2 linked regions of the Canis lupus familiaris genome follow. The protein of the gene in region 1 interacts with the protein of each later gene in a pairwise test. Links are inferred from orthologs where the notes say so. Each region holds a gene or a part of one and is shown on either strand. Other genes may lie near its edges.

Region 1 (7,759 bases):
CTTATTTGTATACTTCAAAAGATTACATAAATCATGTAAATTTATTATTTCCTGAAAATGCAAATAAGCATTAAAGAGAAAATGCTTTTGACCACTGCTCTCATTCTACTCCTCACTGCTTGGGCCTGTTTCTACTCCTAGTGGTGGCCATTATCCTGAGTTTGGTACATATTCTTCCAATTCATTTTTTAAAAGTCTGTCCTCTCCATCTCTCTCTCTCTCTCCCTCTCTCTCTCTCTCTCTCTATATATATATATATACACATTTTTAAAAGACTTTTAATTATATGTTATATAGAGGTTAATAATTCCATTGTGATGCTTGCAACAAAAATCCCTATGTGCATTATTAAGCAGAACAAAAACTAATTATATCACTTCTATCCTTTCCATCAATATTCATATCATATAAATAAACCATAGCGTAATGGGAGATCTGAATCCCAATAATTGACTCTAATAGCCATCCTAATAATTCATTCCATGCCCTGAAGATAATACCATATTGTATTTCAGAAGGCTATTTTAATTTCAGGGAAGGTAAACAGGATTGATTTCAAGGGGCTTCAGATTAAGCCAGGGACCAAAGCACTCAATTTGATTATAGATTTGATAATTAATTAACTCATTCTTAAACTCCAAAAGGGATACCTAATTACTGTATAATTGGAGTAGATGATTAAATCAGCCATTAAAATAACAGAACTTTGTGAATTAACTCAAATATTTAATAGGCACTGTCCTGATATTTGGTTGAGTATGAGAAAATATTTCTGATCAGGTAGTTTTGGAAGAGGTCTTTGGACACTGCCCAGCAATCAGGGTGACTGATCAGGTTTAACAGGTTTCCTGGCTGCCTTACAAAAACCAGGTGGCCATTTCTTGCCCAATGTCTTGATTTTTTTCTGGAAAGAAATGATTTCTTTTAGGGCGCCTGGGGGGTTCAGTTGGTTAAGCATCTGCCTTCAGCTCAGGTCATGATCCCAGGGTCCTGGGATGGAGTCCCACATTGTTGTCTGTTGTCATCTGGCTCCCTCCTTGCCGTCCACTGCTTCTCCCTTTGCCCCTCTCCCCTGCTTGTTCTCTCTCTCTCAAATAAGTAACATCTTTTAAAAAAAGAAATGATTTCTCTATATACAAAATACCTGGCAACAGCACATATCATTCATGCTTTGTCATAGCTGAATCTGAATTGTCTCATGTTTCCTGGCACTTTATCTTTGAAGATTAAGCTATAACCTCAGGTAATCTCAGGGCAAAGGCCTTTCGGTTAATCTCTTGCTGATTTTCCTGACAGTTGATCTGCAAGTCCTAAACTATTTCATGAAAAACTAGGGAAAGGATTGGATAATAAGACACCATACCAAAATTATTTTTGAATTTTCAAAATTCCAATTCACTCTAATTTAAAAATACTGTGCTGCCTTTTTTGGGTCATTCTGCCACTAAATCACCCATCCTAAAAATATTATGTCACCTTTTTTTTTTTTTTTTTTTTTGAGAAAGCAGAGCTATGATTTTTTTTTTCAAAGTTTTAGTTAGAATTTAGTAGGCGCACCAGGCAGATACTGGTTGCAGCAACTACCTTTATTCCAGTCCCCTCCCCCACTGTCAGAGAGACCCCCTTCAGTAAATGGAGTTGGACATTTGCAAGTGAGTATTGAGCAGAAGCACCGTGCTGGTGTAGTAACCACAGTAGGGGCTTGTTAGTGAGAAAAACCAAGCTATGCAGTGGGTCTAATTCAGTTTGGATTTATTTTGGATGCTTACTGATCAGTGTAAAAGAACTATGCCCGTTTTAGTTTAAATTTAGCATTCACAACCCCTTTTTTCCTGACCTGTGATCTGAATCTTGAAAAAAAGAACACCTATTGTGTGTCAAATTGTATATTTGGTGCTTTGTATCTTCCTGGAGAGTAAGTATGGTATCATTCCCGTTCTTTAGATGGGAGTTGGAAGAGGTCAGGAGACTTGACCAAAGACTAACCAGCAACTGGGGCCTGGGGAGAGCCGTTCTGATGTGTGCCGGGCCTGCCACACCTCTCGTGGTCAGGGTCTAACCCGGAGCCGGGTTTAAACCGTGCAGAGCGCAGTGAAGTGGGACAGATGCTGGGCTTCATTCCGGCCAGCTCTGCTGCCCGGCGGCTGGGGGGCCTCCGTCCGGCGTTCAGCCCGCAGCGGCGGCCTCTCCAAGGTCAAGGTGCTGCCCCCGCAGAGCGGCCCACGTGCCGCAGGATGCGCCCCCCTTCGGACCACCTCCCGAGCCGCGCCGCTGCAGGAGGCCGCCGGGCCCGGGCGCCGTCCGCCGACTGCCCCGCCCTCCTTTGCTCTGCAGGCGTTAACGCACCGGGCTGGCCTGTTCGGTCCCCGCCAGCTTTCCAAGGCGCAAGCCGCGTCCCCCGAGCTGGCCCCTGCGGGCAGCTGATTTCCCACGGGGTGAGAACTGGGTTAAACTGGTGTTTACTGCCCACCACGCCCCGCCCTCCCTTGGGGGCCCGCGAGGGTCGGCCCACGGCAGCGCTCCACGCGCGGTCGCCAGGGACGCCGCAGCCCCAAGGCCGGCTGCTCCCGCCCACCCCGATCGCGCGTGTCCAGGGGTGGGGCGCAGGAGGGGTGCAGCAGCGAGTGGGGCGCACCCTCGCGGCTCCCAGCCCCCCCCCTCCCCCGCCGCCCCGGGCATCCTCGCGGGGAGGGCTCGGCGCGGCAGCCGCCCCACCTCCCGCCCGGGGCTGCGGACCCCGCCCGCCCCGCCCTCCGCGCCCGCAGGTGCAGCCGCCGCGGCCGCCGAGTAGGTGCGTGGGGATGATCTCACTCGCGCGCTCGGCGCCAGGAGGAGGAGGAGGAGGAGGAGGAGGAGCGGGAGCAGACCCGACTTCCGGGTAGTGCCGCCGCCGCACGCCACCCGCGGCTTGCTTTTCCTCCCCCTCCCCCCCGCTGCACCCCTCGCCTCTCCCTCCTTGCCTTTATTCCCGGCCCCACCTGCCGACATGAACAGCTCGGACGAGGAGAAGCAGCTGCAGCTCATCACCAGCCTGAAGGAGCAAGGTAGGGGCGCGCGGCCGCCAGGTGCGGGCGGGGACGGCTCCGGGCGCGGGGCCGGGGCTGCGGCGGGCGCGCTGGGAGGTGTCGGGGCCCCGGCGCTGCAGCGCCCTCCGCGCCCGCGCGCCTCGCGGAGCCGGGGCCGGGGCCCGGGCCGGGGTCAGGCAGGGGGCGGGGGCTGTGGGGCCGGCTGGCGCGGGCTGCTTGAGCGGGGGTGGGGGAAGGGGCCCGGACTGGGGGCGGCCGGGGCCCGGGCCCCTTCTCGCCCGCCCCCGCCGGGCCCCACCCCTGCACACGGGCGCGGGGAGGCCTGCGCGCTGCCTCGCACCAGCCTTCCCGGCTTTCGCTCGGCGTCGGTCTGGTTCCTCTTTCCTTCCCCAGCCACGATGCCAGGCCGTGCTGTGTTTTACCACCTACCATTTTTAGCAGTTTCTTAGTCAGTAGCCAACACCCTGGCTGTGCCCGGCTTCCTGAATTCAGATCCGGCCTGGCCTGCCGGGGAGCCGCCCGCGCGTCCTCGCGTCTCTACCCCCGCCAGGTAACCGCGGGGCACCTCCTCCCGGATCCCTCGCCTACGTCTCCTCCTGCGCTTCTTTCTCAACAAAGCCCCATTGGCGATCGAATGTGACTTCGACACTCTTCACTTTTCAAAATGCCTGTCCTTACCCAGGCCCACGGTGGCCCGAGAATATGGGTCAAGGGAGAGAGAGAGGAACTGCGTAGATTTAGGAAATAAAAATGCGTAGGAACATGCACTTTTGCCGAATCACTACTTGCTGACACGGCCACCTCGTGGAGGAGGTCCTGCTCTGTGGCCAATCCTGCTGTTTTCTGGCTCTTTTGCTTCTGTTGGCTCAACTTATCGACTCTGTGAACCTCGAAGAAACTCTGCCCCTCCAGGGGCCTTGTGGTTATCATGCCTTCCTTACCCGACTAAAGACATGGGCTAAGCCATACGATTTTATCAGGTCCTGTCCAGTGCTATGACCTGTTGCTCCTTGAAACCACAAACATACCGATTGCACGAGGTATGTAGACCTCTCTGGAGTTGACACTCTTGGAAACAAATCTCAGCACGATTGTTTACCAACCCTGTTATCTTGGGGAAATCGTTACCTCCCTGAAATGGACAGAACGGGACTCTTCGTAATATCTAGTATTTAGAAAGTGTTGGATAAATGTTCATGGGTTTTGCCTTCTCAGTACCTTCAACAACCGTCCTGGACTAAGCCTTAGGGTCATAAAGTCCCAAGCATCAGTGAATTTAGTGGGTTTGCAAAATGCCCTTAGCGAGCATTCCTCAAGCGGTTTAGTGAGGGGCTGGATTCAGTCCGTATCTTATTTCCAATAGCACTCTTCCCCCAGTAACATAAAGATTCTTACTTCATATTCTAGATGGTTGGAGCTTTCATCATGGGTGATAGCTGCCGGTGGATACCAGAGTTTTTGATGGATGGTCCGTTTTCAAGTAGTGATACAGTTAAAAATTTCACGTTTTTTTTTTTTTCTGAATATAATCATTCCAAGGGTAGGTTTATCAAAGCACTTGTGGTTTATAATCCACAAGTTGTTTATACTTGATTTTGAAACACATCCTCTGTTTCTATGTTGGATTTGAGAGCTGAGAAAAAAAGGAAGATTCTAAAGTTTTTGGTTCTTTCTCATATTATACGGGAACACAAATCCATGGTATTGGTATTTTTAGAGGATATACTTCCTTGATTATGGGCATGTCAAAGGCAATAGAATGGGTAGACTTGGAAATTTGTGTTTCTTAAAAGGTGCACTTTTTTGGGGGGGTGCTGAGTCTAGTTACACAGGTTTTGGGATTATTTTCAGCCCATTCTCAAAACCAGGCATTTCTTTGTCATTGGATCATAGACCGTGATAACAACTGGCTCATTTCAAGAGCATTTAATAGCTGTTTGACCCATGGAACTAACTGGAAAACTAGGGATTTGAGGTGGAAAGACAGGCCGCTAGGTGTTTGGGCTGTTACCAGTATGATAATTAATTTTGTAAGCTGACAGTGTGCCTGATTTATTTTTGAAAATAGACATTTTTTAAAAAAATACCTGTTAACATTGTGACTGACTCTACCGCTCTTGTTTAATGTAGACAAGAAGAACCAATTATGATGAACACTTTACTTTCCTTTTTTGATACCCCTTCAACACACTCATTTCTTCTTTTAACAAATACTTAGCAGATACCTACCATATCTGAGCCCCACGTGGTAGGTACTGGGGGTAGAGGTAGTGAACCAGATGGTCTGCTCTACCTAAGTTTATTGTCTAGTAGAGAGTCATGAATCAAATAATCACACAAATGTGTATAATCACACATTGTTTTTTTTTTTAGGATAGAGTCTTCGAAAGGGAATCATTGCATCAGAGGGCCAGTAGACATAAAGTTGTGCCAGGCATCGCCAAAGTGCCCCCCCCCCAATATGATGGTACCAGTTCACATTCCCCCCAGCAGTGCCTGTTTCCCCCTACAGTTGTCAATGTTGACCAACATCAGTCTTTACTAATTTTGGCAGTCTGACAAGTTTTGTAATTTTTACCAATCTGATGGTCAGAAATAGTACCTTTAGAAAAATTGTATTACCTGGTTCTTAGCGGGGTTTGACATCTTTATACGTGTTTATTGGCCATGGAGGTTTCCTTATTTCATTTTTTCCTCAGTGATTTTTAAGTCAAAAATTTGAACCCATTCCCGAGAGGGTGTTGAGAAAGAGGATTCCTATCTACTCTGAATGGCAGCACTGACAGCAGCCTTCCCTAATGTGAAGTCTTCATTGGTGTGGTGACTAAGGTTGCTTTTGACAAAAGTTGTGAAATGTAATGACGGAGTCTGTCATAATATGAACAATCTCTAATTTATACTTACCATTCCCTAAGCTCTATGTCTTATAAATCACACCCACTTCTGAATTACTTCAAAACATTGTATGTTCCCTTCTCGTGAATGGTATAATTACCTATATTATGTCTTTCTAGAAAGTTATATTATGTCCCTTTAAAAAAATTAGCCAGTGTGTGATTGCTTATGTTCAAGCAGATGTTGAGGTAATGAGGTAATTCTCTTTTTGTCCTTTTTGGAGCTTTATTTTATTGGACTGATTGACGTCTTTAATGCACTGACAAATGGCAACTTAGGGTACTATTTCCGATGCATATTTCCTAGCTACTAAAGTGGACATTTCCCTTACAAAACATCATACAATTTGCTCCCCCTCCAGAATGCGGCTGGGAAATGATCGACTTAGCTCAGCGTTTGTTTAAGGTACATGATTTTCTTTGTAGTGTATTCATCCCACAAGCATTGAATATTCATAGCCAGGCACTGTGCTAGGCATCAGAGATAGATGAATAAAACTTTGTCCCTACTGGTGAAGAGTTCCTAGTCTAGAGATGATGGTGGGCATGTGAATTCCAGGAAGAGTGTCCAGTTGGCCCAGTTTGGGTCATGGGTTTAAGTTCTTTGGTCAGGGAACAGCAGGGCACCTTGATTGGCAGCCCCCACAAAGACCAATGGATTAGAGTAGTTGTCCAAAAAAGAATGGTGTGCCACTACCAAAAGTGGAGGATGCAGGCTGAACAGACACAAACAACAGAGTCCCTTCAACTGGTCAGCATAGTAATGCTGTGTCATTTGGAAGTTGGTGAGGAAGTGTTGAAGGTAGCGATCATCACCCAACAGTGAGGATGTTAGAAAGTAAGACCAAAATTACAACCACCACCCTGAACACACTATCCTATGATAAGATCATGGGTTTTGAAGCTAGATAACCTCCTCTTATCTTTAGAGTTATCATTTTCCCCAAGACTATAGAGATTTGTGCTTCAGCTTCAGCTGGAAATTTAGCCAGGCTCATTCTTAGACCTGAGTTAGTAATTAAAAGAGGCTCCCAGTGTTCCCTTGACTGCTAGGCCAAAAAGTAGCTTGAGCATTATTTTGACAAAAGGGGCCAAATGATTGCCTACCACTGGGACCATATCAAGTCAGGAAAGTGGAAGCATTGTCAATCTTGGATATATACAAAGTCAGTAGAAAACAGTTTGGGGTTTAAATGGTTGCCATGGTGTCAAGTGCAAACTTGGCTTTACATTGTTATTTTTCCAAGTGTGGTTTAGGGGCCGCCCGTCTCAGTAATTGGGATATACATGCACTTTCTTACCTACTTATTTATGAAAAAAAGCCTGGTAAATTTAATTTTCTTCATCTGGGTATATTTTTGTAAAATCGGTATTTGAAATGTTTTGCTTTTACAACAAAGTATAACGTAAGTTGAGAAACGTGCATGAACTCTAAATGAGCATCTCAAGAAATTATTGAAAAAAATGTGTCTAACAACACTTACATCAGAACATCTCCAGAAACCCCTTCATAACCCCTCCAATCATTACTACTTGCCTTTCCCCAAAGATATTTGTGTCACCAAAGGTAAGTTTGGCCAGTTTCTGAGAGTTAGACAAATTGAATCCTACAGGATGCAGTGTTTGCTTCTGTCTTGTTTCACACGTTCTGTGTGAGATTTATCAACAGTGTTGTGTGTAGTTGTAGTTCATTTATTTGGTGAATAGTGTTCCACTATATGTACACACCAAAAAAAGTTTTTAAGTGAATATACTGTAGACCAGAGGTCAGCCGACTTTTTCTGTAACTGGCCAGATAGAAAGCATGTTAGGCTTTGTGGGACACTTGGTGTTTGTTGC
Region 2 (7,582 bases), on another chromosome or scaffold:
AGGTAATGAGAGGAATGAGAAGGTGTGCAGTGCACACTTGGGAGGGATAATGAAAGTCCAGTGGAAAACAGAGTGTGGCTTAGGAGTTCACTTCAGTGACCCAGATCGGGGTGTGGTGGGGGGTTGGGGGTGGCGCAGCAAGGCTAGTGGGTCTAGGCTTTGTCTCCATAGTGCTCGGCCAAGGCAGGGCCCGAGAGAGGGGGCAAAGGACTTTCCAGCAGTGTCCCCCCGCCCAATCCATCCTTTAGATTTCTGCAGCCCCTTCCTCACCACTGCAGCAGGTTCTAATCCTGTCTCAGAAGCAAGAAAACTGAGGATTAGAGAAGCCAAGCCATCTGCTGTGGGTGGCCTGGCAGGTGAAGGGCAGGGCTGAGAGCAGGTCGGAGAATCCTGCACTGTCCGAGGACAATAGGAACAATAACAGCAGTGGCAGTGAGCATGAAGTCCACCATGCTCAGCATTTTAAATGCATTATCTCATTTGATCCCCAAATACCATTAAGGAGTAAATACTGTCATTACCTACATCTGCAAGATGAAACTGAGACTCACAGTGGCTTAAGTGAATTGCCCACAACCACACAGTGAGTATCCCAGGGAATCAGAACTGGCACACAGATCTACCTGCCCACAGCTACCTGCCCCCACTCTGGCTCTCCCCATCAGCAGTGGTGGCATAAGGACCATGTAGGGTGACAGCTCTGGCCACCGGGCCTCCAGCTACTCAGTCCTTGAGAGAGGAGGCTCAGTGTCTAAATGTTGTGACCTTGACTTAGAAACCATCCCACTCTCCCCCCTACCCTCCCTTGCACCTGTTCCAGCAATGAGGTCACCAGGGCTCCATGCCCAGCCCTAAGGCCTGTCCCTGTAGCTTTGGCAGAAACAAGCCCCTGTCTTCTGGCAAGTGGACATGTCCCAAAGAAACAAGACCTTGGGCAAGAGAGGGCTCTTCCTCCCTGGCTTCCCCAGAAAGTCAGAAGTAGGGGTGGATGCTCTCCACTTCCACCTGGAGAAACAGAGGCCAGGCAGGAGGGTCCACCACACTGTACCCAAGTGGCAGAGCTGGGGAACCCTGGGGCTAGTGTGCCTGCGGCTCTGTCAAGCCTCCCCCCGCCTCCTCTGGACCTCTGCTGGCTGAGGTTCAGCTGGGCACCACTTCCTTCTGCAGGGCCTCCTATCTGTTAGGCATCCGCTTACCCCTCACTTCCTCTGGGAAGTCTCCCCTGAACTCCTAGATCAGGACAGGTCTCCCCTCAAGAGTCACATTAGTTCTGTGCCTGTGTACACAGAAGTGAGCAATGGGAGTATGTCTCATTCATAGTTGTCTCTTCAGAGCCTAACCCCAGGCCGGGCAAAAAAGTAGGCAGTTATTAATAACCAACCGCTGGATTAAGAAATGAATGGACTCCTCCAGGCTTCAGTTTGCTCATCTGTAAAACAGGGGTAATTATAAAGCCTACTTTGTTCTGAAAACATGGACTTTGTTCTGAAAGTTCAATGAGAAAATGTACTTTAAGGCTCTCAGCATGAAATAAATATCAATACAAGGTGATCTTACTATTAAAAGCGCTTTGTAAAAAAAAAAAAAAAAAGCGCTTTGTAAAGTGTCCACCGCAAGGGAGGCTGTTTGAAGGAAGTGGGTGACATTTCGTGAAACTGCAAGAGGCCTGCCTGTGTGCAGAGGTCAGGGAAGGGAAGCAGGTGGGGAACTGCCCTGGGGCCTGTAAGAGCATCTGGAGGGACAGAATTTCTGCAGGAAGGTGTGGGGGGAAATTACCTGATGAAATCCTCGGCCCCACACTCTGGTCAGAGGACCCCAAGGTGAGGGGGAGGAGCATGGCAGGGCTGAAAGGCGCGCAGGCGGCCTTCCACAGCGAGGGGCGAGCACGTGCGGGCGGGAAGGGCAGGAAGGGCAGGGCGGGATGCGTCATGCCCTCTCCTCGGGCGGGCGGAGGGCACAGGGGCAGCTCAGCCGCGCACGGTGCCCCTGCCGACTTTTCCCGCCACCGGCGAGTGGGGAGTGGCGTGGGGAGTGGTGAGACAGCCACTGCTTCCGGGGCCAGCCAGACCGGGCTTGCAGGCTGGGTTCCAATGAACCCTCGCCTCATTTCCTGTGACCTTGCAAGCTCCCCGCTGCACCTTGGACTCCTCACCTGCAACCTGAGGACCAAGATGCCTGCGCCACGGAGAGCCAGCCGAGCTGTCCCGGCGTGGGCATCAGCCCAAGGGCGTTTCCTTTCATCTCTAGTCTCCCATCTCTGCTCTGACCCCCAGCTCGGGGAGACACTGGGGGACGACGATGTCGGGGGCGCGCGCCCTAGCTCGCGGGCACTGTGCCCCCGGCTGCTTCCTTCTCGGATTGCGAGGAGCGCCTCGAGGCCAGGGAAGGGAGCAGGTCCTGCCAGCGCGGGGCAGGGACTCGGAGGCCGGGCCCCCGCGCTGACGCAGGCGAGCCAGGCGCCACTGGCTGCCCCCTCCCGCCTGGCGGGTCGGGGGATGGGCTGCCAGCTCCCGGCGGGTGAGCGCCAGCGGGAGGCTTCCTATTTCGGGAGCTGCGGGTGTGGGCCACGCCTCGCCACGTGACACCGGGGCTATTTAAGGCGGCAGCGCGGGCTGGGAACCGTGGGTCCTGGAGTCCTTGCACGCTTCTTTGTCGCCTGCTTTCTCGGCCTAGCCCAGCCTCACCATGGTGGACGCTTTCGTGGGCACCTGGAAGCTAGTGGACAGCAAGAATTTCGATGACTACATGAAGTCCATTGGTGAGCGTGACTCGGGACCCCGTGCGCGGCCCGGCGCAGCGTTCTGGCGCTGGCTAGTACCCTGCACGCCTGCTGCGTGCGCCCCTGCTGCTCACGGCTGGGGGGTAGGGGGACGCGGACCAGGCGGCAGCCTGGGTTAGGGCACGCGAGGCCGTTGGAAGGGGGGCTTTCTGGTCTGAATTCGGCCAGAGAGGGATTCCCAGGTAGGGAGGGGCAAGGCGGTAGATGTGCCTGCCGGTAGATGTTGGGGCGGGGAGGCGCTTTCGAGGAAGAGGATCTGGAGATAGATGGGTTTGTATAAGAGAGCATCCATCGCAGAAGGTGGGAGGCTAGCCGGAGGAGGAAAAAAAGAGGAGCACGGGTGGTTTTGGGATTGGAAAATGTGAATACAAAAAGGGAATGGGGTGGATGGGGAGTGTACTATGGCATAAAGAAGTGGAAACTCCTAGGAGGAGGGAGATGGAAATAGGGGAACAAGGGGTGAATGGGATATGAGGAGGCAGTGAGATAGGGGCTCCTCACGGTTAGCAACAACCCCTGCCCCTCATGTTGAACTAGAGAAAGGATGGTTGCTGGAGGATGCCCTCTCACCATCCAGTCTGTGACCTTGTGCTGCAGTGGTGTGTAACCAGGCTTTAATCACTGCCTAGTGGTAGGGCGCCGCAAGAGGACCCATCACCTGCTGGTTCAGCCACTTGTTGGGGCGGGGTCTGGTGGGGAAAACCACTGGGCTCCCAGGGTGCAGCAGGGTCTTGGAGGAAGGCCAAGATCTGCTAAAGACAGGGAGGGTCTTTGGTCTAGGAAGGTGTGGTTGTTTGGAATAAAGAATAAAGATTCAGACTCCTTAAACATGAGGTCCTTGGAGATCCCTCCTGTTTGCCTAGTTTGACAGATGGGGAGACTGAGACCCAGAGAGAGAAACTGGTCATATAAACCCCATGGCAGGGCAGATATGAAAACCTAGATTTCTAGATCTGCAGCCCAGAGTAGTTTCCACTATAGACCCTGGGGGTGGGAGTGGTAGGAACTGCTAAACTAATGATTGACCTCGGCCCTTCCCCTCCTCAAATGGGCTTAGATGAAAAAGGTGATACCCTTTCTCTTAATTCCCAGCTATGAGATTATCCTAGTGGCCCAGGCTGGGACAAGGAAACCAGAATATTGTTCATAGTTGAGCTACATTCCATGCCTTCCTACCAGGGAAGGGGGGCTGATTCTGGCAAACACCCAAATAAGGGGTTCCTAACCCTTTCCTGAAATAGGAACAAGTGTTGACTTTTGGGGTCACAGCTCTCATGCCCCCACCATAGCATGCTGGGTACTATGCCTACTGACTCCAGGAAAGTAGCCACTCTTGGAGCAGTGGGCCCTGGGCAGCTGTTGGGAAGTTGGGATGCCCCTCCTCCCAAAGCGGACATTCCAACTGAAGTCCTGTGTCCCTGAAGTGAGCTGCAACATCCTTATCACACTTGTTCCCTTATTTTGACCAAAGGGGCAAATTTGAGCTACAGGGCTGAGAATACATCCAGCCTGCTTTTCTCCATACACAGATGGAAAGGATGAGAGGTCCATGGAGGAGAAAAGATCATCCTCAGCTCTCTGTAAATAGCTTCCACTTCATTTCTAAGTAAAACCCACTCTTTCGGATCCCCCAAAATTATCAGCCCCATTTTTTGGTCTCATTTTCTCTTGACTCAGTCCCTCACTCACCCCCACAGTGGTTTCCTTTCTCAAACACACCACACCTCTGGGTAGGTCCTTAGCAAACAGAGCTCCTTGTATGGTGACAAGGCCGTCCGTACAGGGGAGTGGGATCAGCCTGACTCACTCTGATAGTTGGGGCTAAGGCCAAGTCCCTTACTGGCCAGGGCAGAAGCTGCCCTCGCCCCTCTAGTTTTAGACCAAGCTCCCTCAGGGGGCAGAGAGACCCAGCCTAGTTAGTACCAGTGATCACAGGCCCACCTGGTGGCCTCAGTGCCGGGAGGAAGCACATGCTGGAAGAATGGCCCCAGAGGAAGAATGAACAAGTTCTGGAGCCTAGATTCATACTAGGTCCATCACTCCCCCTCCTCCAAAATCAAAATCTTTGACTTTGGGCAAAATAACCTTTCTCCAAGCCTAATTTGTGAAGTGGGGAAAATAAAGCTTACTGTTCAGGGCTGTTATGTGTTCTAAGCATTAAGTGAAAGGACCCATGCGGGACATGGGCTAAGAACCTAGCTTCCAGCAAGTGCAGTGTATGTAGCCTGGCACGCCAGTTCGCCACACTGGGCTGCTTCTGCCTCACCTCTACCCTGTGACACAGCTAACCACAGCTGCTGGGGGCAGAATGGCAGGCAGTTGTGATGGGAGGTTGGAGGCAAAAGGCCAGATCACGAGGAAGCTATAACCTGAAGGGGTTAAGGCTTTGCTGTTCTTTCACTCTTGCAGGACACTGAAGGCTTTGCCCAGCAGCCAGGGAAGAGTGCTTTGTTCCGGGATGGGAGGGGGGAGTCCCCTGAGGGCCTCAGACTAGGAGCCAGGAGACCTGGATTCGAGTCCTAACTGCATAGCTCTCAGGCCTCTCCTAAAGCTGTACACGGAGACACACTTTCCCTTCTGCCTACCTCCTAAGTCCTAGAGAAGAGGACTTGGAAATATCCCGCTGCCATACATAGGGGACAAGTACACCAGTGCGTTTCAAGGCAAAAACTTCCAAAGGTGGGAAATGCTTGTCCCTCAGGTTTTGGAAGGCAAAGTCTGCATTTCTCTTTCCTTAGCCTGTGGCTGGAAAACTCGAGGGTCCGGGAAGGAGCCCTGTGCTCCATCCTTGGGAGACAGTATAGCTAAGCAGTTGCATGAGTTTCTTCAGTCAAACAGTTCTGGGTTGGAATTCCAGACCTGTGACCCTGGGCTTGAGTGTGAAGTGGAGATAACTACATCGTGCCTTCAAGGGAGAATGAAGGGCTAAATGAGGTAACACAAAGAAAGTAGCCTGCTCTAATCTCAGATCTGCCATGACTTGCTGTGGTATGCCTGTCCCTTAAACTCCTTACACCTCTCATCTGCCCAGTGAAATCAAGTGTCTCTTTGCCACACAGAGCTAACAGGAAAGCCGAATTTAAAAAAGAGCCGGAGTCTCTGGAAGTTCTCGTACTCCACATCCCTATGCCCCACATCCAAGCCTGACAGTTGTGCAGAGATCCTCAACCCTGCCTTTCTGTTCCACTCATATGCTTATCCTCTTCCCCCTGCCCTCAGGTGTGGGTTTTGCTACCAGGCAGGTGGCCAACATGACCAAGCCTACCACAGTCATCGAAATGAATGGGGACACTATCATCATAAAAACACACAGCACCTTCAAGAACACAGAGATCAGCTTCAAGTTAGGGGTGGAATTCGATGAGACAACAGCAGATGACAGGAAGGTCAAGGTGAGTCATGAAAGGGGGTGTAGAGATTGGAGACCTTAAGACTTGCCACCCTATTATTGTACCCTGAGGGGTAGGTGATTTGGGGGGATTGAAATGAACAAGGTGCATAAAGCATGTGTGGTGCTGGGATGCCCCAGCCCTGTCCTCCTGCATTGCTCCCCCCTTGAGGAGCATCTGGGGCCTTTGGGAGTGGGCAGCACAGAACCAGGATGTTCTTCTGACCTCTCAGTGTCAACTCCAGCTCCAGCCGGGTGACGTTGTGCATGGCATGCAAGAGCTCTGGGTTTCTTTCCAATCCATAGACGGGAGAGTTATGTGACCATGGCTGTGACCTCAAGTACTTTAGGAACAATGCCCAGGAGGATTCAGAGCTCTTCCCTCTGAGTGAGCAGGTCATTCTGGCCTCCAGCAGCAAAGGAGGCAGCTAGGGACAAGAGGTGGAGACTACTCAGATGCTTCCTTTTTGTCAACATCCACCTTGGAGGTCTCCTTCCAGGCTTGGCCAGGGAGCCTGAGGAATTATTTCTAATTCTGCCGGCCCGCAGGCAAGAAAAGCTATGTTCTGGAAAGAGCGTTGTCTAAGATGTGTTTCTGTGTCTTCCCACGAAGACTTAGCCCTCTCCTCCTAAGGAGGGAGGGGACATCGACTTCTAGTCTCAGGGCTTGTCACCCTGTGGTGATTCTGTCTTTGCTGCCCGCCTCAGGACTCCCAGCCCCTGGGCCAGGCATGGCAGAGAGAGAACTAAGGGACTTGACCTCTAAAGGGAGTCAGTCCCTATAGCAGTATCCTCCAGCAGACCCTATTAGTCAGCCCCTCAGCTGTTTTTGCTTCTTTACAACTGCCTCAAGAAAGACACGATAGGGGCTGGTCTCCTTGTGGAGGAAGCTGGAGCCCTGTCCAGAATCAGTAGGAAGCTGGCAGCAGAGTTGGGATGGTACCAAAGATATCATTCTACCTTAGAGAAAGGTGTCGGCCCTATCACATGCGTCTGTGTCCTTGACTAGCCCACCTTTTTGAGGGACAAGAACCCTAATTAAACAGTAGTGCTCTGGGATGCCTAAGCTGAAAATAATCTGTTCTGAATAGACAAAAAGCTTGGGGGAAGGACATGAGTAAGGTGGTAGCAAGGATGAACACCCACTCCTCATGCAGCCCCAAACATATACACAGCCTTCTCAGATTCTCCTACTGAACCTTGCTCAGCCAGGGTCCCCTAGCCTGACCTAGAGCCCCCAAATTCCTAAAGAGACGAGACCCAGGAAAGCTGCCAAATGAGAACCAGCTGATGCAGGCTGGCAAAGTCCAGAAGACTAAGTGGGCATCTGACCAGGGCTTTGGAACACTCCAAGGGCATCCGGTCCCTGGACCTGGCAGTTGCTGTCTACTTGTCAGCTGAAAGGGCCACATGAT

What was found.
Region 2: the proteins of SHTN1 (region 1) and FABP3 interact in binary tests that used the Homo sapiens proteins (3 or more experiments, as listed by UniProt). The two-hybrid records come from large-scale screens. The link is inferred for Canis lupus familiaris from reciprocal best matches to the Homo sapiens genes SHTN1 and FABP3.

Annotation. Positions count from the first base shown.
Region 1 is NC_049249.1:27,812,808-27,820,566, reverse strand, and holds the start of SHTN1 (shootin-1), read left to right. Parts: upstream 1-2,770; 5' UTR 2,771-2,986; coding exon 2,987-3,044; intron 3,045-4,046; exon of another isoform or gene 4,047-4,066; intron 4,067-7,759. UniProt on the Homo sapiens protein: Involved in the generation of internal asymmetric signals required for neuronal polarization and neurite outgrowth.
Region 2 is NC_049223.1:69,044,975-69,052,556, forward strand, and holds the start of FABP3 (fatty acid-binding protein, heart), read left to right. Parts: upstream 1-2,600; 5' UTR 2,601-2,685; coding exon 2,686-2,758; intron 2,759-5,998; coding exon 5,999-6,171; intron 6,172-7,582. UniProt on the Homo sapiens protein: FABPs are thought to play a role in the intracellular transport of long-chain fatty acids and their acyl-CoA esters.